3 linked regions of the Elephas maximus indicus genome follow. The protein of the gene in region 1 purifies or fractionates together with the protein of each later gene. This does not show direct contact. Links are inferred from orthologs where the notes say so. Each region holds a gene or a part of one and is shown in the gene's direction. Other genes may lie near its edges. The genes, in order: MEX3C, MYCBP2 and AP2B1.

Evidence for each region.
Region 2: the proteins of MEX3C (region 1) and MYCBP2 purify together in Homo sapiens (affinity purification with mass spectrometry; 3 studies listed by BioGRID and IntAct, with this or other methods). This does not show direct contact. The link is inferred for Elephas maximus indicus from reciprocal best matches to the Homo sapiens genes MEX3C and MYCBP2.
Region 3: the proteins of MEX3C (region 1) and AP2B1 purify together in Homo sapiens (affinity purification with mass spectrometry; 4 studies listed by BioGRID and IntAct, with this or other methods). This does not show direct contact. The link is inferred for Elephas maximus indicus from reciprocal best matches to the Homo sapiens genes MEX3C and AP2B1.

The regions. Positions count from the first base shown.
Region 1 is NC_064829.1:59,727,389-59,738,030, reverse strand, and holds the start of MEX3C (RNA-binding E3 ubiquitin-protein ligase MEX3C), read left to right. Parts: upstream 1-5,718; 5' UTR 5,719-6,027; coding exon 6,028-6,775; intron 6,776-10,642. UniProt on the Homo sapiens protein: E3 ubiquitin ligase responsible for the post-transcriptional regulation of common HLA-A allotypes. Binds to the 3' UTR of HLA-A2 mRNA, and regulates its levels by promoting mRNA decay.
Region 2 is NC_064832.1:70,486,699-70,497,104, reverse strand, and holds the start of MYCBP2 (E3 ubiquitin-protein ligase MYCBP2), read left to right. Parts: upstream 1-5,590; 5' UTR 5,591-5,884; coding exon 5,885-6,177; intron 6,178-10,406. UniProt on the Homo sapiens protein: Atypical E3 ubiquitin-protein ligase which specifically mediates ubiquitination of threonine and serine residues on target proteins, instead of ubiquitinating lysine residues.
Region 3 is NC_064837.1:30,137,243-30,147,984, forward strand, and holds the start of AP2B1 (AP-2 complex subunit beta), read left to right. Parts: upstream 1-6,702; 5' UTR 6,703-6,844; intron 6,845-6,860; exon of another isoform or gene 6,861-7,041; intron 7,042-7,059; exon of another isoform or gene 7,060-7,282; intron 7,283-10,742. Other genes in the region: PEX12 (peroxisome assembly protein 12), read right to left, coding at 62-461, 1,289-1,839, 2,156-2,281. UniProt on the Homo sapiens protein: Component of the adaptor protein complex 2 (AP-2). Adaptor protein complexes function in protein transport via transport vesicles in different membrane traffic pathways.

The DNA.
Region 1 (10,642 bases):
ACATCTTCCAAGACAGATTTGTTCATTATTTTGGCAGTCCGTGGTATGTTCAATATTCTTCGTCAACACCACAATTCAAAGGTGTCAATTCTTCTTAGGTCTTCCTTATTCATTGTCCAGCTTTCACATGCATATGATGCAATTGAAAATACCATGCCTTGGGTCAGGCACACGTTAGTCTTCAAGGTGACATCTTTGCTTTTCCCACCTATGCCTATGAATAAACATGCATCTTCTCCTGCCCCGGAACTTTTAAAAACCCAGGCAAGTCTTTTGTTCTGGGAGACAGGGGTATGTGTTGCTTAGGCCCTCCTCGTCTCCGCTTGCAAACCTCTTCAATAAAGGTTTGCTCATGTGGAAAACTCTTCGTGCCTTACCGGCTCATTCTTGACCAGTGAGAGGCAAGAACCTTATTCAATTCTGGCAACAAAACCTCATTTATTATGTGAAAATGAAGCAGAAAGCAATTTTTATATTATGGACATCTAAATTAAACCATTAGCTTTTTTTTTATCTTAGCTGAATAGATCTTATCTTTCTGGATCTTATCTACATGAATCTATTCCCTTTTTAAAATATATTATTCTTTTTGGTGACTGCACAGCAAATTAGGTTCCCATTTAACAATTTCTATACATATTGTTCAGTGACATTTGGTTACATTTTCCACATTGTATCAACATTCTCATTATTCCTATTTTTTCCGTTTCCATTAATCTAGTTTCCCTATTCCTCCCCCTGCCATACCCCCTGTAACTGTCTCATCTTTGCTTTAGGGTAAATGTTGCCATTTGGTCCCTATAGATTTTTTTTTAATTTTTTATTGTGTATTAGGCAAAAGTTTAAAGAGCAAATTAGTTTCCCATTCGATAGTTTATACATAAAGTGTTCATGACATTGCTTTCATTCCCCACAATGTGTTAGCTCTCCATCCTAGTTTCCCCATGTACTTTTGTCCTGGTTTTCTACCCCCTTCCTGCTTCTTACGTTTGCTTTTAGGCAAATGTTGCCCTTTTGGTCTCATATAATTGTTTGCTCTAAGGAGCACATTCCTCTAGTATGCTATTGTTTACTTTATGGATGAATCTATTCACATCTCCCGCTCTCAAGAGAAAACTGTGTGGCAGAACTATCAGCCTATTATAACTTTTGCTTTGGGTCCTCGGGAAGAGAACTTAAGACCAAGGGGTGACCGACCATTAAATGACAACTTATGAAAAGAGGTCTAGAGGACTTCTAAGTATTTCACTTGTAATTCTATGTGTTTTCTCCAAATGACCAACACATCTTGGAAGTGGTCACTGCATATTTCATTTGGCTTCTTCCTTGATCAGGTTTGCTTTACTAGAAGTTCTAGCCTTCAAATAACCATTATTAAACTGAAATATCAGACAGCAAGCATTTTTGTATACTCTATAAGTAAATGTCTGGTTACACAAGCTATTGACTGGTATGTTAAAAAAAGATCCAGTAGCTTTATTAAGGCACCATGAAATATCATTGGAGCATATCACAAAATGGGTGTAGATGTAGTAAATCAGTGAAAATTGTGCCTAATTGGGAAGGTAGCAGGGAGGAAAGGATCACTTTTTGGTAGAGTTACTGGCAAGATTCCCTCCATAATCCCAAATCTGGAATTCTAGATCAATGTTCTCAAACCTGAATGAGTTTCAGAACAGCCTGAGTGGCTTTTAAAAAGCACGTCCCAGGTCCCACCTAGGATCTACTAAATCCAAATCTCGAGGGTTTTCCTCTCCCTGACTCTGCACTTATCTTTTTATAACATCTCTTCTTGATTTTGAGGTACAGCCAAGGCTGAGAATCGCTGCCCTAAAATTTATTGCTACAAATATGAGTTATCAGGGAAGTAACATTATGGGTTTTATGAGGGCTAGTGAAACTTGGAATAAACAGAAAAAAAAAAAAAAGATCATTGCAGTCCAGTCGATTCCAACTCATAGCGAGCCTATAGGACAGGGTAGAACTGCCCCAAAGGGTTTCCAAGGCTATAATCTTTGTGGAAGCAGACTGCCATGTCTTTCTCCCACAGCATGTCAACCTCGAAGTTAGCAGCTAAGCGCTTAACCACTGCATCACCAGAGCTCCTTGGTAACAGGAAAACCCATTGCTGTCAAGTCAATTTCAACTCAGAGACCTTACAGGACAGAGTAGAACTGCCCTACAGAGTTCCCAAGGAGCACCTGGTGGATTCAAGCTGTCAACCTTTTGGTTAGCAGCCATACCACTTAACCACTAAGCCACCAGGGTTTCCTGGTGTCATGGATTGAATTATGTCCCCCTAAAAATGTGTGTAACAATTTGGTTGGGCCAGGATTCCCAGTATTCTGTGGCTGTCCTCCATTTTGTGATTGTAATTTTATGTTTAAAAGGATTAGGGTGGGATTGTAACACCACCCTTACCCAGGTCACCTCCCTGATCCAATGTAAAGGGAGTTTCCCTGGGGTGCGGCCTGCACCATCTTTTATCTCTCAAGAGATAAAAAGGAAAGGGAAGCAAGCAGAGAGTTGGGCACCTCATACCACCAAGAAAGCAGCACCAGGAGCAGAGCGCGTCCTTTGGACATAGGGTCTCTGCGCCTGAGAAGATCCTTGACCAGAGGAAGACAGGACAAGGAACTTCCTCCAGAGCCGAAAGAGAGAGAAAACCTTCCCCTGGAGCCAAGGCCCCAAATTTCGACTTATAACCTACTAGACTGTGAGAAAATAAATTTCTCTTGGTTAAAGCCATCCACTTGTGGTATTTCTGTTATGGCAGCACTAGATGACTAAGACACCTGGTAACAGAAAAGGGGTAGCAAAATACCATTGCTGTGAAGTCAATTCCAATTCATCGTAACCTCATGTATGTCAGAGTAGAACTGTGCTGTATGAGGTTGTCAATTTTTAGAAGTACATCACTAGGCCTTTCTTCTGAGGTGCCTCAAGATGGACACAAACCTCCAATCTTTCAGTTAGCAGCCAAGCTTGCTTGATCAGTGGAAACCCTGGTGGCCTAGTGATTAAGTCCTATGGCTGCTAACCAAAAGGCTGGCAGTTTGAATCCACCAGGAGCTCCTTGGAAACTTTGTTGGGCAGTCCTACTCTGTCCTGTAGGGTCACTATGAGTCGGAATCAACTCATACTGTTAGCTAAAATTCTCTATCCTTTTGGAGGGGCAGGGTAGATTGAAGCCGGATTGTGCAAGTGGCCAGATGGGCACAATTTAGACTATTGTCTTTGTAGCATCCTAGATAATTTAGAAAAGTAGGTGTTGAATTAAGGTTAACTCTTAAGAAACCAGTTTAGGACAAGATACAGTAAATTTAAAAAATCAATATACAAAGGACCCCAAGTTATAAGTCAAAAATCAGGCGGTCTAGAGCTGCTAGAAGGAGCCCTTGTGGTGCAGTGGTTAAGCCCTGCGCTGCTAACCAAAAGGTCAGGGGTTTGAACTCACCAGCTCCTCTCCGCAAGAAAGATGTGGCAGTCTGCTTGCATAGAGATATACACTCTTGGAAACCTATGGAGCAGTTCTTCTCTCTCTTACAGGGTCGCTATGAGCAGGAATAGATTCCACAGCAACAGGTTTAGAGTTGTTAGTAGCTGTATGAGTCAGAATCAACTCCATGGCAACGAGTTTGGTTTTCAGTTTTGTAGTGAGCACTTGAAGTGTGCTAGTCTAGAGCAAACTGAATTCAGATATGCTGTAAATTTAAAGGAAACCCTGCTGGCGTAATGGTTGAGTTAGGCTGCTAACCGAAAGACTGGCACTTGGAATCCACCAAGCACTCCTTGGAAACCCTGTGGGGCAATTCTACTTTGTCCTATAGGGCAGACTAAGAGTTGGAATCAACTTGACAGCAACAGGTTTGGTGTTTTGGTTTGGTTAGTGTAAAATACACGCAAGATTTCTAAGACTCAGTATTAAAAAAGTAAAACATATCATTAATAATTTTATATTGATTACATATTGAAATGTGAATATTTTTGATATATTTATTAAAACTTTGTTTCTTTTTACTTTTTTTAATGGGGTCACTCCAAGCGAAAACCAAACCCCCTGCAATCGAGTAGATTCCGACTCATAGCGACCCTGTAAGACAGAGTAGAATTGCCCCATAAGGTTTATAAGGAGAGGCTGGTGGTTTCCATTCCCTGACCATTTGGTTAGCCACTGAGCTTTTAACCACTGAGCCACCAGGGCTCCAACAGCATCACTACACCAAAAACGAAACGCAGTGCCCTGGAGTAGATGCCGACTCACAGCAAAACTATAGGAAAGAGTAGAGCTGCCCCATACGGTTTCCAAGGAGTGCCTGGTGGATTCGAACTGGTGACCTTTTAGTTAGCAGCTGTAGCTCTTAACCACAACGCCACCAAGTTTCCCAAATGTGGTCAATAGAAAGTTAAAAATTGGATTGTTGCTCACATTATATCTCTACAGGACAACTACCTGTGGTTAAGACTAATCAGGGGAGACTAAAACCTTTTCATAGGGTCAATTCCAAGTCATATCCACCCTATAGGTCAGGGTAGAACTGCCCCATTGGGTTTCCAAGGCTGTAAATCTTTACTGAAACAGACTGCCACATCCTTCTCCCACAGAGCGGCTGGTGGGTTGCAACTTCCACATTTTGGTTAGCAGTCAAGCGCTTAACCACTGCGCCACCAGGGCTCCTCCAGGGGACACTACCTGGCACTAAAAGGAGCTAATGGGTGTGACATAGCCTTAAATGGAGAAAAGTAGTAGCAGGCTCTGTTCTTCTTTAACCAGCCATTTAAAAGTAAGTCTCTAGAAGAGTGTAAGATCACTTGGGCCATACTGTGGGAAGAGCGTCGCAGCTAGGAAACAACTGAGTTCCTATCAAAGCCCCCAAAACCCAAAGCACTTGAAGGCTCCTGATAGAACCAACCAGTTCCGCAGGGAAAACCCGGCCAGCTGAGCGTGGGAGGATCCTGCCCCGGGGAGGAGCTGCCTGGGTCGTTGCAGGGAAGGCCCAGGAGCCACGCCGCTCAGGAAATCACCTTGGCTACTGGAAAGGTGGACACTCCACCGGCCCCTCCTTCGATGACTCCCCTAAGGCCCTAACCCGAATAGAGGGTATCTCGGGTAGACAACGCCCTCCTGGCCTATGCCCACGGTTCCATTCCTAGGCCAATCGCACCCAAAAAAAACCCACTGCCGTCGAGTCGATTCCGACTCAAAAGGCCGCTCGCACAGTGCCCTAAAAAACCCGACCCAGGTGGGCAACGGGGACGGGTAGAAGGAATTAGCCTAGGTGTGGGCTTATGTTCCAGGCGCCTGCGCGAGGGCCCTGCCCGGCCCATAGTTTCAGTCTCCTCCGCTACAGCGCCTTCGTCCCTTTTCCCCGCCCCCAGCGGGGGGGGTAACGTCACAAAGAGTGACTTGTAAACCGAACAATCACAGTCCCTGTTCTCGGGAGCCCGTAAAGGGAAGGGAGGGAGGGGAGGGGGAAAGGAGAGAGGGCGGAAGGAGAAGCCTTCAGGGGCCGGCCGGTCGTGGACACCCAATCAGAGAGCTCTGGCACGGGGTGGGGCGGGGTCCGAGAAGTGGGTGGGGGGTGGGGCTAGGGAAAGGAGCGAGCCGGCTGCGAGGAAAGAGGGCGGGCTCCCAAAGAGTAGAAGCGGCCAATCAGAGCGCGCCGGCTTCATTCGGAGAGCGGCGTGGGGCGTCGCCGCCGCCGCCGCCGCCGCCGCCGCCGCGCGCGCCGGGGGCTGGTTAAGGCCATGAAACAAAAGAAAGCCTGAGAAGGGAGCCGCTGCCGTCCCCACCCACCCACCTAGTTACCTACCTTGGCCTCCTTCCCCTGCCCCTCCACCCCGCCCTCTCCGCTACCCGGGCGGCGCTGGCGCTCCCCAGCCTGGGTCGCCGGCCCCGCCGCCTCCCCAGAGGAAAGGTGTTTGCGCGCTGAGCAGGGCCGGGCCCTGTCCGCCATGGGGCTCGCCGTCTGCCGCGCCTGACCCGGCCGCCGCCGCCGCCGCCGCCATTGACAGCACGCCGCCGCGATGCCGAGCGGCAGCTCCGCGGCCCTGGCCCTGGCGGCGGCCCCGGCCCCCCTGCCGCAGCCCCAGCCGCAGCCGCCCCCGCCGCCGCCCCCGCCGCTGCCACCGCCCGCGGGCGGCCCGGAGCTCGAGGGGGACGGGCTCCTGCTGAGGGAGCGCCTGGCCGTGCTAGGCCTCGAGGAGCCCAGCCCGGCGGAGCCCGGCGCTCCGGCGCTCCGGGCCGCGGCGGCGGCGGTGCAGGGCCAGGCCCGGCGGGCGGCGGGGCTGCCTCCGGAGGAGCAGGCTCCGCCTGGCGGGCCCGGGGCCGGGGAGGAGGCCGAGCTGGAGCTGGAGGAGGAGGGGGAGGAAGCGGAGCTGGACGGCGACTTGCTGGAGGAGGAGGAGCTGGAGGAGGGCGAAGAGGAGGACCGGCCGTCCCTGCTGCTGTTGTCGCCGCCCGCGGCCGCCTCCTCCCAGACCCCGCCGACCCCGGGCGGGTCCCTGGGGTCGGTGCTGCTGCCCGCCGCCGGCTTCGATGCCCGGGAGGCGGCCGCGGCGGCCGCGGCGGCGGGGGTACTCTACGGAGGGGACGATGCCCAGGGCATGATGGCGGCGATGCTGTCCCACGCCTACGGCCCCAGCGGCTGCGGGGCGGCGGCGGCCGCCCTGAACGGGGAGCAGGCAGCCCTGCTCCGGAGAAAGAGCGTCAACACCACCGAGTGCGTCCCGGTGCCCAGCTCCGAGCATGTCGCCGAGATTGTCGGTCGCCAGGGTGAGTGCGGGGAGGGGAGCCCAACTGAGCTTGGCCCTGGGCGTGGGTGGGGAGACCTGAGAAACAAGCTCGGGGCAAGAAAGGCGAATACGACGAGTCCCCCAAAGTCCACTGCCGAGGGGTCTGGGAGGAGCCCAGAGTCGAAGAGGCCAGAAGATGGGTCACCCTGCGAAACCCCTGCTGTTCCACTCCTTTTGATAAAAGGTGTTAAGTTTCTTGAGCCACCTAATCCGGTGGGGTTCTCTGCTCGGGCTGTATTCGTGGAACACTAACTGGCGTGCCACCAGAAACCTCAGCGACGTGGTAAAAGGTCGCATCAGATGAGTGTGGATTCGGGGCTGTAAACTAAAAGCCTCGAAATTGTAAGTTCGTGCTGCAGACAGTTTTGTAAAAGCTGAGGAAGAAGCTGTTAGCTTTCCTTACCCAGCTTATTCAGATGAAGAAATGGATAGAAATGGAGTCTTGTAGAAAGCTCATTCGAAAGGGAAGGGTCAGTAGCCCCCACCCCGCCGCCTCCCCTCAGCTATTCAGAAACTTGGCTTTTGAAGAGCAGCCTGACTCGCCTGAGCTTACTGTATTCCTTTTGATACATTTTCTGTCTCAGAAAGGGACACTGGCTGTCTTGTACTGTCTTTCGTGTACGCGGTAAAGGAAAATTGGATAGCAAGGTAATTGAGTTAAGAAACTTTGCGTTTTTACAGTTTTCGGTCAATTCTCTTCACTTGCCAGCACACCAATACTGCAGACAGACTCCTCCCACATTGTTCAGACAAAGGACCTATGTCTCAGATTCCAGGAGTAGATTTGTGAAGGTGGGGGAAGGGGATGCTGGGAGTACCTCTGTATCTGACATTTTGGGGAAAGAGCCTATGATCTTAAATGTAGTTTTCCTACTTTATTATTACCCGCTGCCTCTTATGTACAATATGGTTTAGCCACGTTATTGCACGGCTCTTTACTGTTAGGTTGAGAGCGTCCGTGGGGGTCAAATAGATGATGGCGCTGCTGCTTAAATGATCTCATCTTTCCCAAGTGGTCTAAAAAACACATAAATAAGAGTTCTGTTGAAATGGTGGTTTCAGATATCAGAGTTGGCGCCGTTCTTACCTCTAGGATTTTAATAAGGAAACCCCATCTGAAATCTGGATAGAAAGAGCTTATTTCAGACTCCCTGATGATTTGGCACTTAAAAGCACAGCTCAAAGATGGTGCCATTCAGTCAAAAAGGAGTTTATTCCTATAGTTTGTGGTAAGTCAATTTCACATTCCTGTTTGTACCATTTTGTTTTGTTTGCATCATTTAGGATAAGGAGTCCCTGGGTGGCACAAATGCCTAAGCCTTGACTACTAGCTGTAAGGTTGGCAGATCGAACCCACCCAGAGGCACCTCAGAAGGCAGGCCTGGAGATCTACCTCTAAAGAATCACAGCCATGTAAATCCTGTGGAGCAGCTCTACTCTGCACACATGGGGTCACCATGAGTTGGAATCGACTCTCATAACAACAGGATAATAACTGTTTCACCTACACATGATGAAATTATAACATCTCAATTTGTAGGTCTAGAATGAGTTGGCCATTCATTTGAGAACGTCGAAGAATGGCTCTGTCAGGCTGGTAGTTCCAAAGCGTTTGACTTTGTGTCACTTGGGTATGTGAGGTTGATTCAGACAAACTTTCTGCCCTTACAAAGCTAACAGTCTAATAAACAGTGGAAGGGCACTAAACTGTTACCTAGTTAGTGTCACAAACTACAGTGTGTGACAAAGAAAAAGTGGTACATATGAGAACTTCGACCTTGGAGGGCCTTGGAGTATGGATAGGACTTTAACACATGGAGATGGAAGAAAGACCAGAAGAACAATGAGAGGAAAGATGTGGAGGAATAATCTCTTGAGTGTGACTGGCAAGTAGTGTTGAGTTTTGTTAGTATCTAGCACTGGGTCTGGGTTAGGATTTGTAAAAGGGAGTGTGAAAAAGGGCCAGGAAGGTGTGCAGACCAGGATATGAAGAACCTTTAATGCCATGCTAGGATGCCACCTCCTTGTTTGTTTCAGTGAGCTTGTGGTGACAGTTTAGGATAACAAAAGAAGAACATTTACATGACAGTTATATTAAGGGACAAATTAATAATATGCATTGTGGATTTAGTTTAATAGAAACTTACTTCGCTGTGTTATACCCTTTAAAGCACTGTGAAATTGTCCTTTTTCCACAATCTGCTTGCTATCTTTATACAAATCCATTAGTTAAAAAGTAAGCTGGATTAATTCCAGGCTTCTATTTTGTACCATCTAAAAAAAAATTTTTTTTTTATCAAGTGATTTTAGTTTCTTTTTTTTAATCAAGTGATAGCAAAAGAAATGAAGTCTTAGTGGTCTTTTTGTTTTGTTGTTCCTGTTTCAGGGCTGTGCTTATTAATAAGAAAATGTGGATATATTTATGTCTTAGGACATGGAGACAAATTGCTGACAATTCCTTTTGCACTTAATATTTTCCCAGAGTTGACATATTATTGCTAAAAGTATGTCATCATTCTCTATCTTATCTTAAGAGCAGCAAGTCTTGCCCTTTTCCTGTTTTGAACCATTCAACTAGTGGATCATTGACCCCTTTGCCACCCCCACTCACAGCCAACACCACAATAAAACCTGTGAAGTCTTTTATTTCCTCCTTTGGAGAGTAAGGCTACTTCTAATGTTTGTTGCATCCTCTCCATGGTGTGGTAATTTCCCCCTGGGAGAGTACCTATCCCTTTTCCCTAAGTGACTAAAAAAAAAAAAAAAGTGACTAGAACAGGGCAAATCATTTAGTTTAGTTGTTTGGTTTCAATGAGCTAAACTTTCATCCTTAAAAAATTACCCATTCTTGCTATTTTATTCAGTACCCGAAGTCATAATTTTCTATATGACATCTCTTAATTGGTTCTGGAAATAATTATGTCACAGATGGAGACATTTATGACTTCAGCTCTGAAGGAAGGAGTAGGACAAATGGAATTCTGAGTCATATAGACAAGCAGCTCAATGTAGATGGCCTCTGGTTCCAGTACCTTTCAAAAAAGAAAAGGAAAGAAACAGTGCTTTTGATGGTGATGAAAGTCGGCAGAGTGTTTGACCTCATATTTATTCTCCCCAGTAGCGTATGGTCATTTGTAGGTGTTGAATTGGGCTTGGTTTTTAAACTTCGCATCTCATTTAAAAGAAGCCAACAGTGCTGTATAAAATAAAGCTAAGATCTAAAGAGTCTTAAATCAAAGAAGCTTTACAATGTAAGGAAACCCTGGTGGTGTAGTGGTTAAGTGCTATGGCTGCTAACCAAAAGGTCGGGAGTTTGAATCCACCAGGCGCTCCTTGGAAACTATGTAGTAGTTCTACTCTGTCCTATAGGGTCGCTATGAGTCGGAATCGACTCGATGGCAATGGGTTTGGTTTTTTTGGTTTACAATGTAAAAATCAAAAGTAAACCTGACAATAGATTTAAGATTTAGTTTTGTAAACTTGGAAACATTTATATTTTTTAATGTATTGCCTGCAAGACGCATTCATAGTGGTGTTACCAGGAGGCTTAAGTCGATGGGTTTTATTCCGGTTTGTACAGTCATTGATAATCCAGTTTAAAAAAGGCATTAAAGTAGAATCCTATAACTGTCCTTTCTAACTACAAAATAAATAAATACTGAATGTCATAAATTCAGTTGTTACAAAGACTGGTAACCTAAGGTTTTGTGTTACTGTTTAAGGTCAATGGGCATCTTCAAATATTTTCATTAGTTACTCTTTGATGGTATATGTGTGTTCTCTAGCCTCATGAGTGTGCCAGTATATTGTACATCATACCCATTGCTGTTGAGTTGATTCCGACTCA
Region 2 (10,406 bases), on another chromosome or scaffold:
TTACTCATGAGAAAACTTAGGCTGAGAGAGGTTAAATGTCTTTAAAATAATTTCATGCCTCCTATAATCTGTTTAGATCCATTTACATATATTCTGTTATTTGGATTTGCCCATAACCCTACTGGTATAATAAAATTGCTATTAGTATAATACAGTTCCAGTAGTCCTTCAGAGTCTGAGGTAATGTGATTTAACCTATTTAATCTTAGTAGTTAATACTACTCCTTAGAAGCAAGGCTCCTGAGACTTCATCTTGCTTGCTTTGGACACGTTATCAGGAAAGACCAATCGCTAGAAAAGGATATCATGCTTGGTAAAGTAGAGGGTCAGCAAAAAGGAAGAAAACCCTCAATGAGATGGATTGACATAGTAGTAGAGACAATAGGCTCAAATATACCAAAGATCATGGAGATGGCACAGGACCATGCAACTTTTCCCTCTGGTATACATAAGGTTATCCTGAGTGCCAACTGGACAGCAACTAACAACAACAACAATACTTTACGAACTACAATGACATTTTCAGGGTTAAAGCAATGTGTTCTTAAAATTTCACTCCTTAGAAGAGTTACACTTTATATGACTTTATCAGTTTGTAAAATCACCCACTTGCCTAAATGCATCATAAAAATGATTTTAAAAAATGTCGTGATTTGCATTAAAATATATATCACTGACTTTGCACTCTCCAAAAACATATACTTACCAGTAAATATTCTAGAACAATATTTTGGGGATGAAAATATTCATATTTAACATAGGCCCCCATGACCTAAATTTCTATTTGTAGGAAAATTTGGGTATGATATCTTGTATCTTTTTAAGCTAATATGAGTAAGAAGGAGAAAGCATTAACCTTTTATGCTTAGAAATCGTTGTATATTCTAACAACAACAACAAAAATCCCTTTGCCATCAAGTCTATTCCAGCTCATAATGACCCTGTATGACAGGGCAGAACTGCCCAGGTAGGTTTCCAAGGAGTAGCTGGTGGGTTTGAACTGCCGACCTTTAGGTTAGCAGTCAAGCTCTTTTAACCACTGTCCCACCAGGGCTCATTCTAGCCAAACCAAACCAATCCTGTATGGTTTCCAAGGAGCTCCTGATGGATTCAAACCACCTACCTTTTGGCTAGCAGCTGTAGCTATTAGCCACTACACCACCCGAGTTTCTAGGCTCATTCTCAGGTCCTATAAATATATAACACACAGTTGTTTAAAGCAAGAGGTCGAGATCTTGGGGGAGGGGGTTAAAGTGCAATTTTCATTTCAAAAAGAATTTCAAGTGCTAAGTTGAATTTTTCTTTTTACTCTGGAGTATTAAATATATGAAGCATATTTCATTTTAAAGTGCAATATCATCATATTAGTTAACATTGCAGTATCTTGTGGCCCTTAAAAAGCCAAGGTCACTGAAGAGTGAGACATATCCTCTCTCTTCAAACCTGAGCATATATATATTTCTTTCAAATGGCTCTCAACTACCATGCTTCTTTTAAAATGCTTTCAGCTACCAATTTTGTTTTTAAATGCTCCAATAGGTTACTGCACAAATGTACTCTTGACTTGACCACGGCATTTTCTGAGTTTGCAATCCTGTAGCATTATTACAATATTAACCATTTAAATGAAACTAACAACATGGCTCTGTCCTCTTACCTACACATTGTGGGTTCTGCCATGTTATTTACTCCATCAGTGTTGGTGGCTTCTGATTTTTTTAAACTACACAGAGTAGAAAAATATAAATGTGGAAAAAGGTCAGAAAATTGTAGTGCCAGGTACGCAATGTCGAAGGAAAAACGACAAAATCTGTGCTCACAGGGTGAAAGATGAAGCCATAATCTTATAATCGCAGAAAAGATTCTTTTGAGACATGAGCATGGTATCAACCACAAAGACTGAAAAATACTATGCACATGTTTTATTAATAAAACGGACAAATTCAGGACTTGCCTTAGCTCAATGCTATTATTTGAGGGCGAATGTGGCATGAACTCCTGTCTAGCCTACTCCGACACCCTCCCCGGCCCTCCACCCCACTACCCCAACCCGCCCTCCTAAGATAAATGCACACACACGCCCAGCTTGGCCAGAAGATAAAGCTAAGATGGCAGCACGGAAAAAGTAGAGAGCTGCGCTCAGCTGGGCTGGAAAAATAAAAGCAAAGCCCTTGGTATTCTTTCATTCTGCATAGTTCCTTGAATATCCAGAATTCTCACCCCCCTATTCTACTCCAAACATTTGGGCAGCGTAAGCCATTCAGTAGTAGTGCGCTCAGGAGTGGCGGGAGGGGACGCTTGCTTTGCCGATTGCGAGAAACCCACATCTCTTAGTCTATAACGACTGTCCTGGAGACTCCCGAGACCTGCCTTGGGGTTCACCCTCCCCTTCGAATCCCCTTGACAATGGAATAAAGTATGACTCCAAATGTCCTTTATTCCTGACGTGTTCCCCCATTCCCTGCCATCCCAGGGCAGCTTTCCAAGGTGCCCAGCTGCCACAGCAGTAACTGTAAGCAGTTGCAGCGGTGGGGGATCGCACAGTGCGGAGGCAGGAAGAGGAGGAGAACGAGGAGAAAAAACGCTGCAACGGCTATCAATCTAGAAAAGAGCGACCGCTGCCGCTGCCGCTGCCGTGGAAGGAAACGCTGCCAACCGCAACAGAAACGCCACCCTCGGATACCTAAGTGAGCATGTGTACGACTCTGCGCACGCCTAGTTGCACCACCCAGCGACGTCAGGTTTCTAGGGAAATTATCCAGTTACCGGGTTTTGATTGTATCCACAAGGCTCAGGAAGGGGCCTGTCTAGGACTGACCGGTATAGAAAGAACAGAAGCAAAATTTAGGAAGGGGTGGGAGGAACCAGGAGCCCAGTGCAGGAGCACGGGTCATTCTCCACTCTAAACTGGCACTGATAGCACGTGCTATCACCTGAGCCTACCCTGGAAATGCTTCTGTGCAAGCAACATTCATTCATTCATCCAACCGATATCTATTTCCCTCTTACTTACGCCTAGACCCTGTGCTAGGCACTGGGAATGTAATGGGTGAACAAACACAATTATGGCTCTTGTGGACAAGTTTTGTGTGTGTATATTTGTTTGTTTTGTTCTTTGTAAGTGCCACCATTTGTGGAAAGCCATCTGCCAAGGTGCGCAGGCCTGTATGCTTTAAGTCTTCCCACAATCTCATGCAATAACAGCAAGTATTATTTTGACCATTACATACAGGAGGTCCTTAGGTGGCGCAAACAGTTGGCGGTTGGAACCTACCCAGCAGTACCATGGAAGATAGGCCTGGCAATCTGCTGTCATTAAGATTACAGCCAAGAAAATCCTATGGAGCAGTTCTACTCTGTAACATATGGACAGCAAGTCAGAACAATATAGAGAAAATCTTGCCCAAAGACATACAAGTGTTAAGGGGCAGAGTCAGGATCCAAAGCCATGTCTGTCTGATTTCAGAGCCTTTTCAGTACTTTGCTGGCTCTTGCAACAGTAATACACCCTTGTAGCATCTAGCTGCCAGGTCTTTAACTCCACTCCTAGAATTTAGCTGTCTTTCCCCCAGTGTCTTGGCTCTCACCACAGGGTTGGGGGTGCTTCCTGTTCAACACTTAGGTTTGTAACTGTGCTGAAGCATCAGCCCAGTGATTTAGCCTAACAAATACTTACTGGATACCTACTATTGGCAAGGTTGTATTCTAGGGCCTGATGAAGAAAAAAACAAGAAGCTCTGAAGGAACTTAGAAGATCATTGAAGAAACAAGACAAATACAAAACCTCTTTAATAGAGCAACCCACAATACTAAAATACTGTGATTCCTCATGTCTATGCATTTGTCCCTATTCGTTAATCATCCCGTCTTTACCTTTTTTCACAATGATACTCATCTACCATTCAAAGCCCCAGATCAGTGCATTCCTTTTAGCATCCCTCCTCCCAAAAGCTTGAATTAATTTACTTCCCTACTTTTTGTTTGTTCTTCTCAAAACACTGAAAAGGACTTTTTTTTTTTTTTTTAAAATGAAGGCTATTAAAAGAAGAGACACTGATATAAGAACTAGTAAGTAGATGACCACCACCCATCTGTCAGTGTTGTACTATGGTGGCCTGTATGTTGCTATGATGCTGGAAGCTATGCCGTTGGTGTTTCATATGCCATCAGGGTCACCCATGGTGGACGGGTTTCAGCTGAACTTCCAGACTAAGACAGACTAGGAAGAAAGGGCTAGTGATCTACTTCCAAAAGTCAGCCAGTGAAAACCCATGGATCACAACAGAACATTGTCCCACTTGCTTGCTTTGGACATTTCACCAGGAGGGATGGATTGCTAGGAAAGAGGACATCGTCTTTGGTAAAGTAGAGAGCTGGTGAGGACAAGAGAGACCTTCAGTGAGATGGGTTGGCACAACAGCCACAACTATGTACTGGAACATACTAGTGATTGTCAGAATGACACAGGAGCAGGCAACATGTTCTGTTGTTTATAAGGTCACCATGAGTCGGAGCTGACTGGACAGCAGTTAACAACGAAGTAAATGATGGATATAGTACTTAGAATGATAGTACTTAGAAATGATTTTTCAGGAGTATAAATTATGTAAACTCTTTATACGGAGAGCCAAAGGGACAAAACTTAGGAATCATGGTGCATTTGTGCATATATTTCTAAGATTTTTTTTTTTTTTAAGAAAGGGCTAACAGAATATTGCTTTGGAACAGGGACTCTGAGAATGTTACACTTTTGTACACTTAACAACGATAAGGTCTTTGTAAATCTGACCTCCTCAGATATTATACAGTCTTAGTCATAATTATAGTTTCAGGTCATATTAAGAATCATCTGTCTATAATAATGTAAGCCTGGGCAGAAAAATCTAAGCCATTAAGTGACCACTGCCAAAAGATAAGGGTGAACCCCTAGAATGAGTGAGGAGTTAACAAGACTATTTAAGAACAATATTATTGCATTACGATTTATCTCTGATGTAAATATTAAGAACAAGACTTTAGGAATGAAGCCGGTTTTAGAATACTTGCATAACTGTGTATTCTACTTCCCTCAGAAAAAAAGAACACTAGATCACCACCTGTCTGTGTAAGTGAAGTCTAATTTAAACAGATTTAAATTCTAATCACAATACATTCAAAATAAAATCGCCAAAGGGACTTCTCATTCAGACGGCCTTGAATTCTGATCCAACCAGCACTCTTCACAGCAAATCTTCACGTTGGCAGCACAGACTTTGAGGGAAGGTACAAGGAGTGCGTAATACTCATTCTCCGGCGATAGGCACATTCCCTCTTTCTGGTCCTAAATTTTCCCACCTGGAAGGAACCCCATTACCTGAAGTCCAACAACGCCTGTAGCTGACAGCTCCTCCAGCACTTTCTTTACTCTCCCTCAGGTTGCTACCAAAGCCCGGAGAAGCGGATTTCCTTCAGATTCTGCACGACCCAACCACCTCACGCCCAAAGCCCGGAGGCGGAGGGAGTGGTAGCTGAGAGGCGGGTGGAGAGGAAAAGGGGTTCCAATGACTGAGCATGTGCGAGGAGTGGCGCATGCTCAGTACGGCCAGCAGCTTCCCATTGCGGGTAGCCCCGGCGGTGGCAGCGGTGGCGGCGGCGGCAGCGGCGGCACCGCCTCCTTCTCACACGCCCCGGGCGGCGGGGTTAGATGAGCGGCCCCAGTAGCGGCGAGGGCGGCGCGGGGGGGAGGAGGAGAAGGAGGAGGAGGAGGAGGAGGTCGCTGTCTTTGTAGTCTCCCTGCTGCGGGAGGGAGAGGCCGCCGCCGGAGTCGTCGTCGTTGGAAAAGGGTTGTGTGTGCGCGCGCGTGTCTGCCTGCCCGGCCCGCGGGGACAAGGCGGCGGCGGCGAGGATGATGATGTGCTCAGCAACTGGCTCCCCCGCCGCCGCCTCCTCGGGGCCCGGCGGGGACGGATTCTTCCCAGCCGCCACCATCTCTTCCTCCCCGGCGCCGTTCATGCCGGTTTCCGAGGGCTCCGTGGCAGCCACGGGGCTGGGGTTGGGGCTGCCCTCCGCGGACTCCCGGGGTCACTACCAGCTGCTGCTGTCAGGCCGGGCCCTGGCTGACCGCTACCGGAGGATTTACACAGCTGCGCTCAGTGACAGAGACCAGGGGGGCGGCAGCGCTGGACACCCGGCCTCCAGGTGCGTCTCTGGGGTGCCCTTCCTTATGCCACATGCCGCGTGTGCGCTCGCGTGTGTGTATGTGTGTGTGTGTGTACGTACGTATTTACTGAGCAGTCTTTCATGAAGTGCTCAGTGCTGGATGGTGCAGGCACTTATTGAGATAGGAGGGTGCGGTGGCAGCGGCTTCTGCTCTAAGTGTGTTGGTGTGAGGGCGGGAGCTTAGCTTGAGAGGCTGGAAAAGGTAATGGTGCGATGACACGTGTGTGTGCATGTGTGTTGTTGAGGAAGGAGGAAAGATGGGTAGAAGATAAGAGGGTAATACACGAGGAGAATTTGCTAGAGTAGTGAGGGAAGTGCCGTTTCCACTGTCTCTGCCGCAATGGTATTTGCAAGTATCTTTCACCACCTCAACCCCTCTTCCCTCTCCCCCAGTGACATTCCATCTCCCCCCTTTCCACCGCTTTAAAAAAAAAAAAATCTGTCTTTTTCTAAGGGAGCAATAGTTTAGGTTAAGGATAATGTCATATTTATAGGATGAGTTCTTAGAATCAAGCTGTCAGATAGGCATGAGGTTTCGTTTTAAGTAAGGGATGCATATGGTGAGTTGTGTGGACGTGAAAGGTGTCTGATAGAGATTTTTGGAGCAGTTCTTAGATAATTGGGCCTTTTGGTGTTCTAGAGATGATCTGGTCGCCGCTGCTCTTGTGTTCTGATGCCCCATCGCCATTTCCCTTCGTCTTCTGTTCAATTTCCTGTTACTTAAGGGCTTTGGAGTAGAGGGGTTGTGTAGTGGAAAAGAGAAAGCTGAATGGAAGAATTTTAAAATATGACAGCTGGTAGAGTGTTTAACTGTCATCAACTAAAAAATATGAGTAGCTCTTAGTCTTTTTCAGTTAGGCTCACTGCATCTTCAGCTTCCTTGATGTGGGAAACGTCACTTTCATTTTCTTTTTCTTAAAATGTGGGTGCCTTTTTGCTAAGAACTCTCCTATTGTTTTCTTTTCCGTGTCCTTACATGCCACATACCCTGAAGGAAGGTGACTGACTTGTTTCACCAGCTTGGGTTTGACAGTGGTAATTGGGAGTTGGTTTCATCTTTTTTCCCACAGCTTCTTGCAAAACACGGGAGAATAGTAGGATTTTGTCAAATGAATTAAAGAGTTCACTGTATTTATTGAATGTGTAGTTTGTTAGTCAATAACCACATGTTTTTTCCTCCCACTGTGAAAGGGGTGAGGCTGTAAGTCAGCTGTTTGTAGTTTATCAGTCTGCTTAGCCATTGGGGAGAATTGTAAAGACGGAGCTTTGGTCACATTTTGTCTAGGTAAATCAATCATTCTTCTCATTTCTGTAATTGTTTACGAGGGACACATGAGTTATTGTATCATATGGCTATAAATATGCATAACTACCCTTTACTATCTAAAAGGATGGGCAAAAAGGCACAGGTCTGTTTTTTTTTTCTAATGCCTTTGAAAATAGCGCAAAACCTCATCAGACAGTTTGCTCCAATAATTAGGTGTAATTTAGATCTGTGAGTCTCTAAATTATGGCGCTGTAGGCACATCTTTACAAACCTCTCAGAAAGAACTCAGGTTCCTTTTAGATGTTGTTCCAGACTTATGCAGTAATTTGTGACTGGTATATTACTGTTTTGACTTTTTAACTAAACCCATTGCTGTTGAGTTGATTCCAGCTCATTGTGACCCCACAGGACAGAGTAGAATTGCCCCTCAGTGTTTCCAAGGCTGTCAGTCTTTATGGAAACAGACTGCCACATCTTTTCCCCGCTGAGCAGCTGATGGGTTCCAACCATTAACCTTTTGGTTAGCAGCTGAGCACTTAACCACTGCACCACCAGAGCTCCTTCAGACTTTCTGCTACTCATAGAATAATAAAATTTCTATTTATGTATAGCTGTATTAACAGTATGAGATACAATTAGTAAAAGTTAACCATGTACATAAGATTTGTAAATGAGGTTCTAGTCTTTGATCTGTTTTTTTTACCAGCTGTCAATTAAAATGAAAAATTAGTTCAAGAAAAACTCATGAAAACCAGCCTTAAGTTATGTAATATTGCTTTCTCAGAACATTGTTGCTTATTATAGTTAACATTATTTTTTTCTATGTCTTAGCTTGTAACTTCTCTTTATTGAGAATTTGATTAAGAATTCAATCACGTTTCTTATTAGGGGTGATGGAGAAAGTGGAGCTGGGATTTAGGCTCTGAATGAATAGATATAAAATAATCCCATGTGTAGAGGCACTGGTCGAAGTTACAGGACAGGATGTGATCATTCAGAGATCGAGAATGGAGCAAGACTAGAGGATGAAGCCCTGGTGAGCATCAAGTGTAAAGGTCTTGAGAGAAGGAGACAGTGAAGTAAGCTGAGAGGGAAATTAGGAAGAGAACTGGGTGGGGGCAGTAGTGTCTTTGGTCTTAAGAAAGTAGATTGCAAAGTCCACAAAAGTGTTAAATGCTGAATAAAGTGAGAACAATTTCCAGGTCATTGATAACTTTTGAAGAAATGGTCATAGTAGAGGAATGTGGTAAGCAGTGAATGGGAGGTGTTGAAAACGCAAGGATATTTGAGTATGCAGGGACGGTGGGGAGCATTCAGTAGTTGAGACGGAGTGATTAAAGATATGAGAAACCAAAAACCAAACCCAGTGCCGTCGAGTTGATTCCGACTCATAGTGACCCTCTAGGACAGAGTAGAACTGCCCCATAGAGTTTCCAAGGAGCGCCTGGCAGATTCAAACTGCTGACCCTTTGGTTCGCAGCTGTAGCACTTAACCACTATGCCACCAGGGTTTCCACAAAGATAGGAGAGAAAGGGATAATTGATGGGGAGATGTCAAAGGGAGATCTCAAGGACAGTTTTAAGACCACAGGTGGAGAGAGTAGCCACTGAAAGAAGTTACAGACTTGTCTTCCTTTAATATAGAAGGAAGTTGTTGTATTGCTGTTAGGTGCTGTCAAGTCGGTTTCAACTCACAGCCACCCTGTGTACAACAGAACGAAACGGTGCCCAATCCTGCATCATCCTCACAGTCGTTGCTATGTTTGAGCCCATTGATGACCCACTATGTCAGTCCATCTCCTTGAGGGTGTTCCTCTTTTTCAGTGACCCTCTACCTTACAAATATGATGTGCTTCTCCAGGGAGTGGTCCTTCCTGATAACATGTCCAAAGTACATGAGCTGAAGTCTCGCCATCCTCATGTCTAAGAAGCATTCTGGCAGTACTTCTAAGACAAGTTTTTTCTTCTGGCAGTCCATGGTTTATTCAGTATTCTTTGCCAGCATCATAATTCAAAGGCATCAATTCTTCTTCCATCTTCGTTATTCATTGTCCAGCTTTCACGTGTACATGAGGTGATTGAAAATATCATGGCTTTGGTCAGGCTTCTCTTAGTCCTCAAAGTGACATCTTTGATTTTTAACACTCTAAAGTGGCCTTTTGCAACAGATTTGCCCAATTCAGTATGTCATTTGGGTTCTTGCCTGCTGCTTCCATGGGCATTGATTGTGGATCCAAGTAAAATCAAATCCTTGACAACTTCAGTGTTTTCTCTGTTTATCATGATGTTACTTCTTGGTCCAGTTGTGAGAGTTTTTATTTTCTTTATGTTGAGTTGTAATCCATACTGAAGCCCGTAGTCTTTGATCTTCATTGGTAAGTGCTTCAAATCCTTTTGACTTTCTGCTAGCAAGGTAGTGTCATCTGCATATCACAAGTTGTTAATGAGTCTTCCTCCAATCCTGATGCCTCATTTTTCTTCATGTAGTCCAGTTTCTCTGATTATTTGCTCAGCATACAGATTGACTAAGTATGGTGAAAAGATACGACCTTGATGCACATCTTCCTGATTTTAAACCATGTAGTATCCCCCGTTCTGTTTGAACAACTGCCTCTTGGTCTATGTATAGGTTCCACATGAGCACAATTAAGTGTTCTGGAATTCCCATCTTCGCAATGTAATCCATAATTTGTTATGATCTACAAAGTTGAATGCCTTTGCATAGTCAATAAAACAGGTAAACATCTTTCTGGTGTTCTCTGCATTCAACCAAGATCCATCTGACATCAGCAGTAACATCCCTTGTTCTGAGTCTGAGAAGCGGAGGAGATATTTGTAAATAAAAAGTCTGGGAGCTCCTAGAGGATAGTAACCATATCCTGTTCATTTTGGTAATCTCAACGTTTAGCACAATTTTTGGCATTCGTTCTTTAAATGTCAA
Region 3 (10,742 bases), on another chromosome or scaffold:
ATGCTGAAACTCAGCCCTATGACCTTAGTGCAGTAGTTGCGAGATAAGATGCTAATTACTTTCAGTTCTCAGGGGAGTACAATTTAATCAGATGTTGCACTTCTGTGGGATACCCTGTAATGGGACAAGCTTGGTGACTCCTCACATAACTAAACACACAGCGATAACAAAACACATAGCCAGAAGTGGCAAGAACGGTGTCGTTCACCCGGGTTTTACGACACAGCGGGCACACAGTCTTCATTTTGGGTAGTAGGGGAGAATCAGAGTTGTAGTCCAGGTGTACAGGTGGTGGTGGAGTAGGCAGGGCAGTCAATGATTTGATGGTTTCTTGATTTTCAGATGAGTACCACCATTCAAGGAACTGCAGAAAGAATACACCTACAGAAAGGCCAGTAGAGAGGGATAAGGCAACACCTCCCACAGCTTTCTTCAGAGTTGACTTTATCGTCTCACTAACACTGTTGGGAGAATAGAAAAAGGCGGTAAAGGGAGGAACTATTTAGCTATAATCACAGAATGATTAATATAAATGCAGTTCTTATGTTATCCCTCAGAATCACTGCTTTGGAGATTGAATAGTTACTAGGTTGGCATTACCTCCTTAAGGATCTATTTTAAATGATTCCCTCTTTCCGACTCAGAGTATTTTAGGAGTATGACAATTTGTTTTTAGTAATATTTGTTTTTTTATAACAAAGGACTACAGTTCTGCTTTTTGAGAAATTAGTAGACATTGATTGCATAGACCATTTTTTGTGGAAGATAGTACATCAGAGAAATAACTCTTAAAAGCTTGGCAATATTGAATATATATATATGAACTTGTAGGAGAACATATATATATGTTCTCGTAAGCACTAACTAGTAGTAGCACAGCATCATAGTTAAGAGCACTGTCTTAAGAATTTTACTGATCTGGCTTGAACCTCATCTCTGCCACATTGTACAGGTGGCTTTGGCAAGGTACCTACCTGTTAGGGCTTTCCTCAGCAGCTAAATGGGGCTAATACATTTACTTCATTGGGTTGTAATGAGGGCTGAGATAATGTACGTAAAGCAGACAACACAGGGCTTGGCACGTAGCAAGTGTACAATAAAAAGAAGCTAGAATAATGTGGATGGTTACCATGATGGAGTTCTGCAATCCTTGTTTTATGAACACAAAGATTTTTTGTATGATTCTATGAAATACCTCAAAGTGGACTGAGGGAGGTGAATTTCATGAAGTTGGGATATGATTTTAAAATTTAGAAATCAGAATATTTTTGAAATGTGAAGGCCTCACCTGGCTGGTGGTTGCTTCATGCTGGCTTCAAATGGTTTGTGCTCCAGTGCTTGTATATCCTGAACTGTCAGTCGACCTAACCGAACTCCAGCCAGCCTCAGCAGTGGTGAGTGATGCTGAGCCTTTCCTAGGATGTATCGAAGTTGCTGTACAAGAAACCAGCCTTCCCAGGCCATGTTGACAAATGGGTAGGCTGCCAGGAAGGCTCGGTAAAATCGTTTCCGGTGGGAAGAAGGGGGATGAATAGAATATTCATCCTCTTCTCTCAGGCTAGAAACCAGCTTCTCCAGCTTCACTTTCAGATAGGGAAGAAGAACCAGGAACATAATAGATTTCCAAAGCTGCTTCTTTGGGAGACCTGCGCTGGCCAATCTCTGAAACTTGTGTGTGTCCCCCATTACAACCCGCTTTAAGCCATAAAAGTTTTCAGAAAACGAGGCACTAGTTTTAGACAAGTAATGCTGCTGAAGGAGAAGATCTAGCAGAGTAAAGATTTCATCAAACCACCTCCAAAAGAAGCCATAGTGGGCAGGATTTGATTCTGCAAGAACCTAAAGTGAAAAAAACAATAAACAAAATTGGTTCTATTTCACAGTTACCATACCTTGTATTTACATTCCCTTTGTTCTTTAAATTCTACATAGTTCGGGCTTAAACAAGTCACTTCTTTTGGGGTCTACCTTACCACCTCCCTGAAATGTTAGAGATTCAGTACAGGACTGCAAGAACAGAGACTCAATAACGCATCATGGGACAGAAATTACATGCTAATTGGTTATTTCAAACCCTAGGCTACCAGCTAAACAAATTATTAGTTTGGTTTTTACTCGGTCGTCCCTAAAACCTTTCTGAGAATTAATACCTTACCTTGACCACATGCTGAAGGGCGGGTCTCACTGCTGTCATTAAACTGTCCTGTGCTACCACCTCAAAGATGGATGGCTGGTCATCCACCACAGAAGCAGTTGTGATGTGAGCCCCATGCTCAGCCATCGTTTCCTGTGTTTACTGGGCTTCACTTTTTCCCAGGCTCTGTAGTGAGCATGAACCTCTTTTTTGGATCAAATGGGTGCTCCGTCTTAAAGATAATTTTTCTGCCAGATATCCGAAACTCCGTACTCAATTTTACAGGCTAAGGGGATGATATTTAACTGGGGGAAAAAGACCTCTTCTGGAAGCGTGGAGAGGGATCTTTCAAATTAAGGAGGTTGAGAACGAAGTTAACGCGGACATGGGTGGAAGCAGTCTTTGGGGAGGGGGTGACCTATCAAATGCTGCACCTCACAGTGTAGAGCCTAACTGGGAGAGAGGTATGGGCGGATAAACGCTGTCCTCTCGAGCGGCCGTCCCGGAGCCTGCGCGTCGGGTACCCTTCATCGTGAGGGCTCAAAAGCCAGCCTTCTCTGAGGGATCGGGGTGCCAACACGGGTCCGGTACGCGAAGACTGTGTCCAGTTTGGGCTGTAAAGTATCCCCGCCCGCGCCCGTCCTTGCTACCTGACCACAGGCGAGGCGCGAAGGACCCACAACGCCACGTTCGCGGGGAGGTCTCGGCTTTATGACAGAAGCGGTAACCGGAAATAGAAGGCTCCGCGGCCTCAGGGAAGTGGCAGGAGGAGAGGGGCTCTAGTCCGGAACGCGGCGCCGAAGCCGGAAGTAGAGAACTCTATGACCCTTCCGCTTCCGCCCCCGCTAAAATTAAAAATGTCTCCTATGGGATAGTTTTGGCGACGAATTCTCTGTTTGTTTTACTTTTTCTGAGTCTATACAGGTGAAAGCCACAGATCTGATCATCTCTTTTTGAAGTTTTTTTGAGGAGGTGTTTGCGGTGCTCCGAGCCCTGACGCCCCCGGACATAATTTGGGCTGGGTACTGAGTCCTGTGTTCCCAGGATCGATGGTGCTAGAGGCCGAGGGACAAAGAAATCGGGAGATGGGAGGGTTTTCTCGTGTGCCCAAGGCAGGAATTGGTGATCGTTAATTTTATTTGACCGCTTTCTGGAAAGGATTCGAAGTGACCCAGCAAGAGATAAGGAGGCCTGGTGGCGCAGCGGGGAAAGCGCTGGGTCGGCGGTTCGAATCCATCAGTCCCTACGCGGGAAAAAGTGTTTCCTTAAAGATTTACAACCTTGGAAACCCTTATAGAGAGCAACCAAAAACCAAACCCAGTGCCGTTGAGTCTTCCGACTCGGCGACACTATAGGTCAGAGTAGAACTACCCCATAGAAGAATTGCCCCATAGAGTTTCCAAGGAGCGCCTGGTGGATTCGAACTGCCAACCCTTTGGTTAGCAGCTGTAGCACTTAACCACTACGCCACCAGGGTTTCCTTATAGAGACCATATAGGACAAAATAGAACTACTTTTCCCTATATGGTCGCTATAAGTTGGAATCAAGTTAACCGCAGTGGGTTTGGTTTTGAGTAGCAGAAAATAGAAGCCTTTAGCTCTATTGCTGCCAATTAAAAAGATTAACCCATTGCGGGTCAATCGATTGGGACTCATAGTAACCCTATAGGACAGGATAGAACTGTCACATAGGATTTCCAAGGCTGTAAATCTTTATGGAAGCAGACTGCTGCGTCTTTCTACGCAGAGCAGCTGATGGGTTCCAACTGCCTTTTGGTTAGAAGCTGAGTGCTTAAGCACTTCGCCACCAGGGCTCATATATACGTATATATAATCTCCAACGCAGTGCCGTCGATTCCGACTCATAGCGACCCTATAGGACGGAGTGGAACTGCCCCATAGAGTTTCCAAGGAGCGCCTGGCGGATTCGAACTGCCGACCCTTTGGTTAGGAGCCGTAGCACTTAACCACTATGCCACCAGGGTTTCTCCTATATATATATACACACACATATATGTATACATATGACATGGTGGTGGTTGTTCCGTGCCAGTGAGTTAATTCTGACTCAGCACCCTATGTACAACACAGAGAAACACTGCCTGGTCCTGTGCCATCCTCACAGTTGTTGCTATGTTTGCGTCCACTGTTGTAGCCACTATGTCATTCCATCTCCTTGAGGGTCCTCCTCATTTTCACTGACCCTCTACTTTACCAAGCATGATGTCCTTCCCTAGGGACTGATCCCTCCTGATAACAAAAGACTATTAGTTGCTCAGAACTTTCATCCAGGCTGGTACCTTAACTGTCTTCCAGGTTTTGGTTACATTCAGCCATATGTTTTCCTTAACATCATCTCAAAGTATTTTCCCTTGTCATTAAATACAACCAAACCAGTTACCACTGAGTCAATTTTGCCTCATGGTGACCCCATGTGTTGCAGAGCAGAGCTTGAATCCATTGGGTTTTCAAGGCTGTGACCTTTTTGGAGCAGATCGCCAGTCCTTCTGAGGTGCCTCTGGGTGGATTCAAACCACCAATATCTAGTTAGTAGTAAAACACTTAACCATTTGAGCTACTCAGGGGACTCCATTATATAGTCTTCAAAAATATGATTTTAAAAAGTATTTTCCAATCATAGAAATAAATACATGTTCAGCGTAGAATGCTTCTAAAATTAGGAAGAAAATTAAAATTCTAACCATCCAGCAATAACCACTCAACATTCTGCTGAATATTTTTAGCCTTTTTAAAAAATACATATGCAATCACACTGTATATATTATTTGGTATCTTGTTTTTTTTTCTCTTGACATGATCGTGAATTTTCTTGTGACATAAAATATTCTACAACATTATGCAGCTATTTGATTTATCATAAATGTTTATGTTCCCTCTTGTGTTAAAATTAGGTTTCCAATTTTCACCTATTTCAATAATAAGGGCAATAATAATATACGACTATGTTTTACAAACCTTTTAGATACTTCTGATTACTTAAGAATGAAATTTTAAGATGCTTACACACTTTTCAGGTAGCGTAACAGTTAAGTGTTTGGCTGCCAACCAATAGGTAGGTGGTTTGAACCCACTCAGCTGCTCAGCTGGAGAAAGACCTGAGGATCTGCTCCCATAAAGATTGTTGTCATTGTTAGGTACCACAGAGTTGATTTTGACTTATAGCGACCCTGTGACAGAGTAGAATTGCTCATAGGATTTTCTGGACTGTAAAATCCTCACGACTGAACCAACTAGCAACAGCATGATAAATGGAGAAAATACTTCACCTGTCAAGGATTTCATTTTACTGAGATCCACAATCCACGCCCATGAAAGCAGCAGTCAAGAAATCAAAGACATAGTGTATTGGGCAAATCTGCTGCAAAAGACATCTTTAAGGTGTTAAAAAGCAAAGATGTCACTGTGAGGACTACGGTGTGCCTGACCCACACCAGGGTATTTTCAATTGCCTCATATGCATGTGGAAGCTAGACAGTGAGTATAGAAGACAGAAGAATTGATGCCTTTGAATTTGGTGTTGATGAAGAGTATTTAATATACCATGGACTGCCAGAAGAACAAACAAGTCTGTCTTGGAAGAACTACAGTCTGAGTGCTCCTTAGAAGACAGGATAGCAAAACTTCGTCGTACATACTTTGGACATGTTATCTGGAGGAACCAACCCCTGGAGAAGGACATCATGCTTGGTAAGGTAGAGAGTCAGCAAAAAAGAGGAAGACCCACAAGGGGATGGATTGACACAGTGGCTGCAACAATGGGCTCAAACAGCAATGATTGTGAGGATGGCACAGGACCGGACAGTGTTTCCTCCCGTTGTACAAGGGGTTGTTATGAGTCGAAATCAACTCCAGGGCACCTAACAACAACATATACTTTTCCACTCTCACAAATTTAATAGGTAAAAATGTGAGGGAAAAAGGATCCACTCCCACACCCATCCCTATTACTTACTCTGATTAACCTTGTTCTCTAGTTCTGGATCCTGGAATCTAGGCCTTTGTTTCTGAAAAGGTGAAAGGGAACTTACTTTTGTGAAAAGCACATGTATTACATGATAGGCGCTTTACCTACTTTATCTCATTTAAGGTTTACAACCCAGAGAAAAGAAAATTAAGACTGCGGTGAAGTTAAGTAACTTTCCCAGTCATCCTCAGGGCTGGAATTCGAACTCATGTCTAATGGCGACTCAATCTCTTCTTGCATCGCTCTCCTCTCGTCCCACTGCCTGTGTATAATCCTTGGCTGGACCCAACACGTGAATTTGCTGATTTTGTTTTGTTTTCAGAAAGGAACATGATATTTCACCTGCTCTATATGTAAACTTTTCAGAGAACTCCTGTGCGAGGAAATAAATCCAGAGAATGTCAGTTTGTTCAATATATCCCTTCAGATAGCCACTAAACAGCCTCCGGGTCCCAGGTCTCAAGACCTCTTCTAGACCAAGCAAATCATTCTGTCGCCAAGACGACAGAGGTCACAGCCTTTCTGATTCTCCGGCGCACGCCGATGACGTCTCGCGACTAGGTCCTCTTACGTCACGTTTCCTGTCCCCCATCTTTGTCCCTGGCAAAGTGGGTTTTGCGCAGTGGCTTAGACCTGCAGAAGGAATCGTGACGGGCAAGAAACCATTACACCACCACCGAGGCCGCGCTCTCTGGCTGCTGCCGCCTCCCCCGCCCTTGCCTCCGGTGAGTTCGAGCTGGCCGACTTTGGGGCGTGTCCCTCATTAAAGGGAGGGAGGAAAACCCCTGCCCGGGTCGGAGACGGAAGGGTCGAAATCCTAGAAACTTGATTGTTTGATTGTTGAGGGCGAGGGAGCCGTCGTGTGTGACCGTTGTGAGGAAGAGGGTTGGCGAAAGAGACTCCTCCGCGCTGGCTTGGTGAGGTGAGGGAATTGGCGGGCGTGGCCGCTGGCAGATGCGGGGTGCCGTGGCGACGTACGTTCTGTAGCTGCCTTGATGGCTAGTCCGGGAGTTAGGAGGGCCGAAGGCCAGGGGTGTGGCCGTTGGAGACGGGAGGCCGAGGGGAGAACCTTCCTTCTTCCCCGCCTGGCGTCCTTCCCGGAGAGGCTGAGACGTGTCCACTGAGCCCCAAGGAGGAGGATTCCCCCAAAGCTTTGCTTGTCGGTAAGGCCCGACTTTTTCGCCTCCCCTCCAGGATTTTTTTGAGAGTAAGACACTTCTCCCCGCCTTGCAATGGAGGAACCTATCCCTAGAGTCTTAACCACCTGGGGAAAGAAGAGGAATTCCTTACGCTTGGGAGGAAGAAAAAGAAACCTCCAGCAGTTTGACCAGCTGTGAGAGAGGAGGAAGCAAGTGGGGGTTAATCTTACAGCAGCATGGTTTTGGGTTTTTTTTCTTTTTCCTTTCTGGGCTTAGCAGGAATGATCTGGTTTAGGAATGTTGGTAGGTTAAGGTAGTAGTGAAGAAACTAGAACTTCCTGTTATTTCCACATTCTTTGAATCCAAAGAATTTATGCATGCTATTTGTTTACAGCAGTGGGTTTTTTGGTTATTTGTTTACAGGGTAATCTTATATCTTGGAGCAGGCTTTTGTTGAACTCACCTGGTTCCGTGCGGATGCTTCATTAAATTTTGACTTTAAAAAAAATTTTTTAAATGCAGAATACTGTTACCATAAATGTTATGATTTAAAAAAAAAAAAGACGTAGCAAGTTCAAAAAAGGCAGAATGACTGAGAAAGAAGGTGGTCTAAATTTAAATTATTATCTTGTGTTCTGCAATTGCTTAGCCTCGGGGTACACTTACAAAGTAATAATAGAAAGCAGTAGGTGAAGGAGATGCAGCTGTGTAAGAAAACGTGTAACACATTCCAGTGATGACTAAATGTGGTGGTAAGGTGAGTACTGTTTGTAGGTGTCTTAACAGTTGAAACTCCCAAGGAAGCAGAAAGGATAGTGTGTTCTGCAAACAGCCTCACTGAAAGTTAGGTGGTAAAATTAATATAAAGCTAACATTCTGACTGTGAATTAAGAGATTCATGTAAGCCCAGTTCTTCCATCTTTTTTTTTATTTTCTTAAATAGGTGTATATTTTTGCAATATCACATTTTAGGCACAGATTTGAACCAGGCCTGAACACGGAATGAATTGGGTAGGACCTAGTCTCCTTTCTTCTTTCACTCCAGACTTAAGTTTTCCAGAGTGTATTGGTATTTCAGTTAAGAAGTGGATGGATATAAAACTTTTGGGCTCATTTCTTACTGTATAATATTAACTAATTCGTGTTCTGTCACATTTGAATAGGAATCACAAACAATTTTGGCTTTTCAATGTCTGTTGTGATTTTTAGGAGCTATCTTTTTTATATGATACCTGAAGATGCTACCATCTTTGCATTATTAGTATTTGATTAGAAATGAACTTAGCACCTCTCACCTTTGTAATAAAAGGTTGCAGGAATGACCTTTCTGCTTTGTAATTTGGTTAACTCTTTAGCCAGTTTTTCCCTATGGAGCACTAAACTGTAAAGCCCAACTTCTGTGAAAAGCTTAGTGGCCTCCTCAGCACTAATTTAACTACCATTTCCCAGAGAGCCATTTGAAATTAAGATCCTATTAATTTTTTTCTGGCCTTATTCTACTGAGGCTATTAATCTTATTTTGTTGCTCATTTTTTCTTTTAGAGGACTGGAGGGAAATAGGTGGGGAGGTTTTTTTCACAACCTATATTTGGTAGAAACTGGGTTATGTTAAATCTAAATATATAGTCCTGTGCAGGGAGGCCCTCTCTGAAATGTGGTGACATCACACTCTGGGCTAGGACAGGTAAGATTGAATGTGTGCCCTGACTGTGGCAGCTTTGTTGTTTAACAGTACCCCTAGGCCATACCGGGAGCCCTGGGAATAGTCAAGTGTCAGATTGGTCAGTTAGGAAAGTAGTGTGAGTTGGAGCTCCAGGGTGGCTTTGCTTATTCCTGGGGCTCTCCTGAAAGAACCCCAGGAGGAGCTTGATTTTTTTTTTTTTAATTTTTATAGTGCTTTAAGTGAAAGTTTACAAATCAGGTTAGCCTCTCATACAAAAATTTATACACACCTTGCTCTATATTCCTAATTGCTCTCCCCCTGATGAGACAGCACACTCATTCCCTCCACTCTTTTCATGTCCATTCGGCTAGCTTCTGACCCCCTCCACCTTTCCATCTCCCCTCCAGACAGGAGATGCCAACATAGTCCTTTGTGTCTACTTGATCCAAGAAACTCACTCTTCACCAGTATCATTTTCTATCCTATTGTCCAGCCCAATCCCTGTCTGAAGAGTTGGCTTTGGGAACGGTTCCTGTCTTGGGCTCACAGAAGGTCTGGGGACCATGACCACCGGGTCCTTCTAGTCTCAGTCAGACCATTAAGTCTGGTCTTTTTACAAGAATTTGGGGTCTGCATCCCACTGCTCTCCTGCTCCCTCAGGGGTTCTCTGTCAGAGCAGTCATTGGTTATAGCCTGGCACCATCTAGTTCTTCTGGTCTCAGGCTGATGTAGCCTCTGGTTTATGTGGCCCTTTCTCTCTTTTTGGGCTCATAACTCCATTGTGTCTTTGGTGTTCTTCATTCTCCTTTGTTCCAGGTGGGTTTAGACCAACTGATGCAACTTAGACGGCTGCTTGCTAGAGTTTAAGACCCCAGACGCCACTAGGAGCTTGATTTTTTTGCTCTTCAATACATCCTTGATTTTTTTTTTTTTTTAATGGGCTCCATCTTGGTTACTTTTTTTGTGGCTTAATGCAGACATCAGTTTTCACCAGCCTGTATTTTGGAGAATCTGGCTGTGACCATCTCTGGGGTGTGGTTAAATGTCCCCCCAACCACCACCTTTTTTTTTTAAATTATATATTTTTTTATTGAGGTGAAATTTGCATAACATGAAATTAACTAGTTTAAGGTCAATAGTTCAGTGGCATTCACAGTGTTGTGCAACCACCATCTCATTTGTTTTTGTTTGGACCGTCTTCGTTTTTCTTGGAATTCCTTTTGGCTTAAGGCAGGAACTGACATGGTACAATGATTTTCTGCAAATGTGAATAAAGGGATATTTCATTACAATAGTTTAAAACAGTGTGCGCTAAGAGTGGTATGCTCCTCTCTCTTTAGAGCAGGAATTCTTATGATCTATGTATAAGTATGCAGGGATACTAAGGAGCCCTAGCAGCGCAGTGGTTAAGTGTGTTTGCCTGCTAACCAGCAAGTTAACGGTTCTAACCCCACCCAAGGGTTCCACAGGAAAAAGACTTGGCAATCTGCTTCCCAAAAGATTGTAGCAAGAAAACCTCATGGGGCAGTTCTGCTCTGTCACCTGGGGTCACTATGAGTTGAAATTAAATGGCATTTAACAACAACAACAATGGGGAATATTTGACCCTCTCTCTTGAAGTTTTGTGTGTGGGTACGTTGTTCTCTAGTTAAGAACACTTAATCACAGTGAACAGGAAATAAGTATATTCCTTGACAATGAAATTTCTTAAGAGAGATTGTGATATGTGTGGGCTGCTCATAAAGACTGGACTGAGACTAGGTTAGTTAAAAGTTTAACAGATTGTGGTGAAAATTCCTGTTGAGAATTTAATGTATGTAT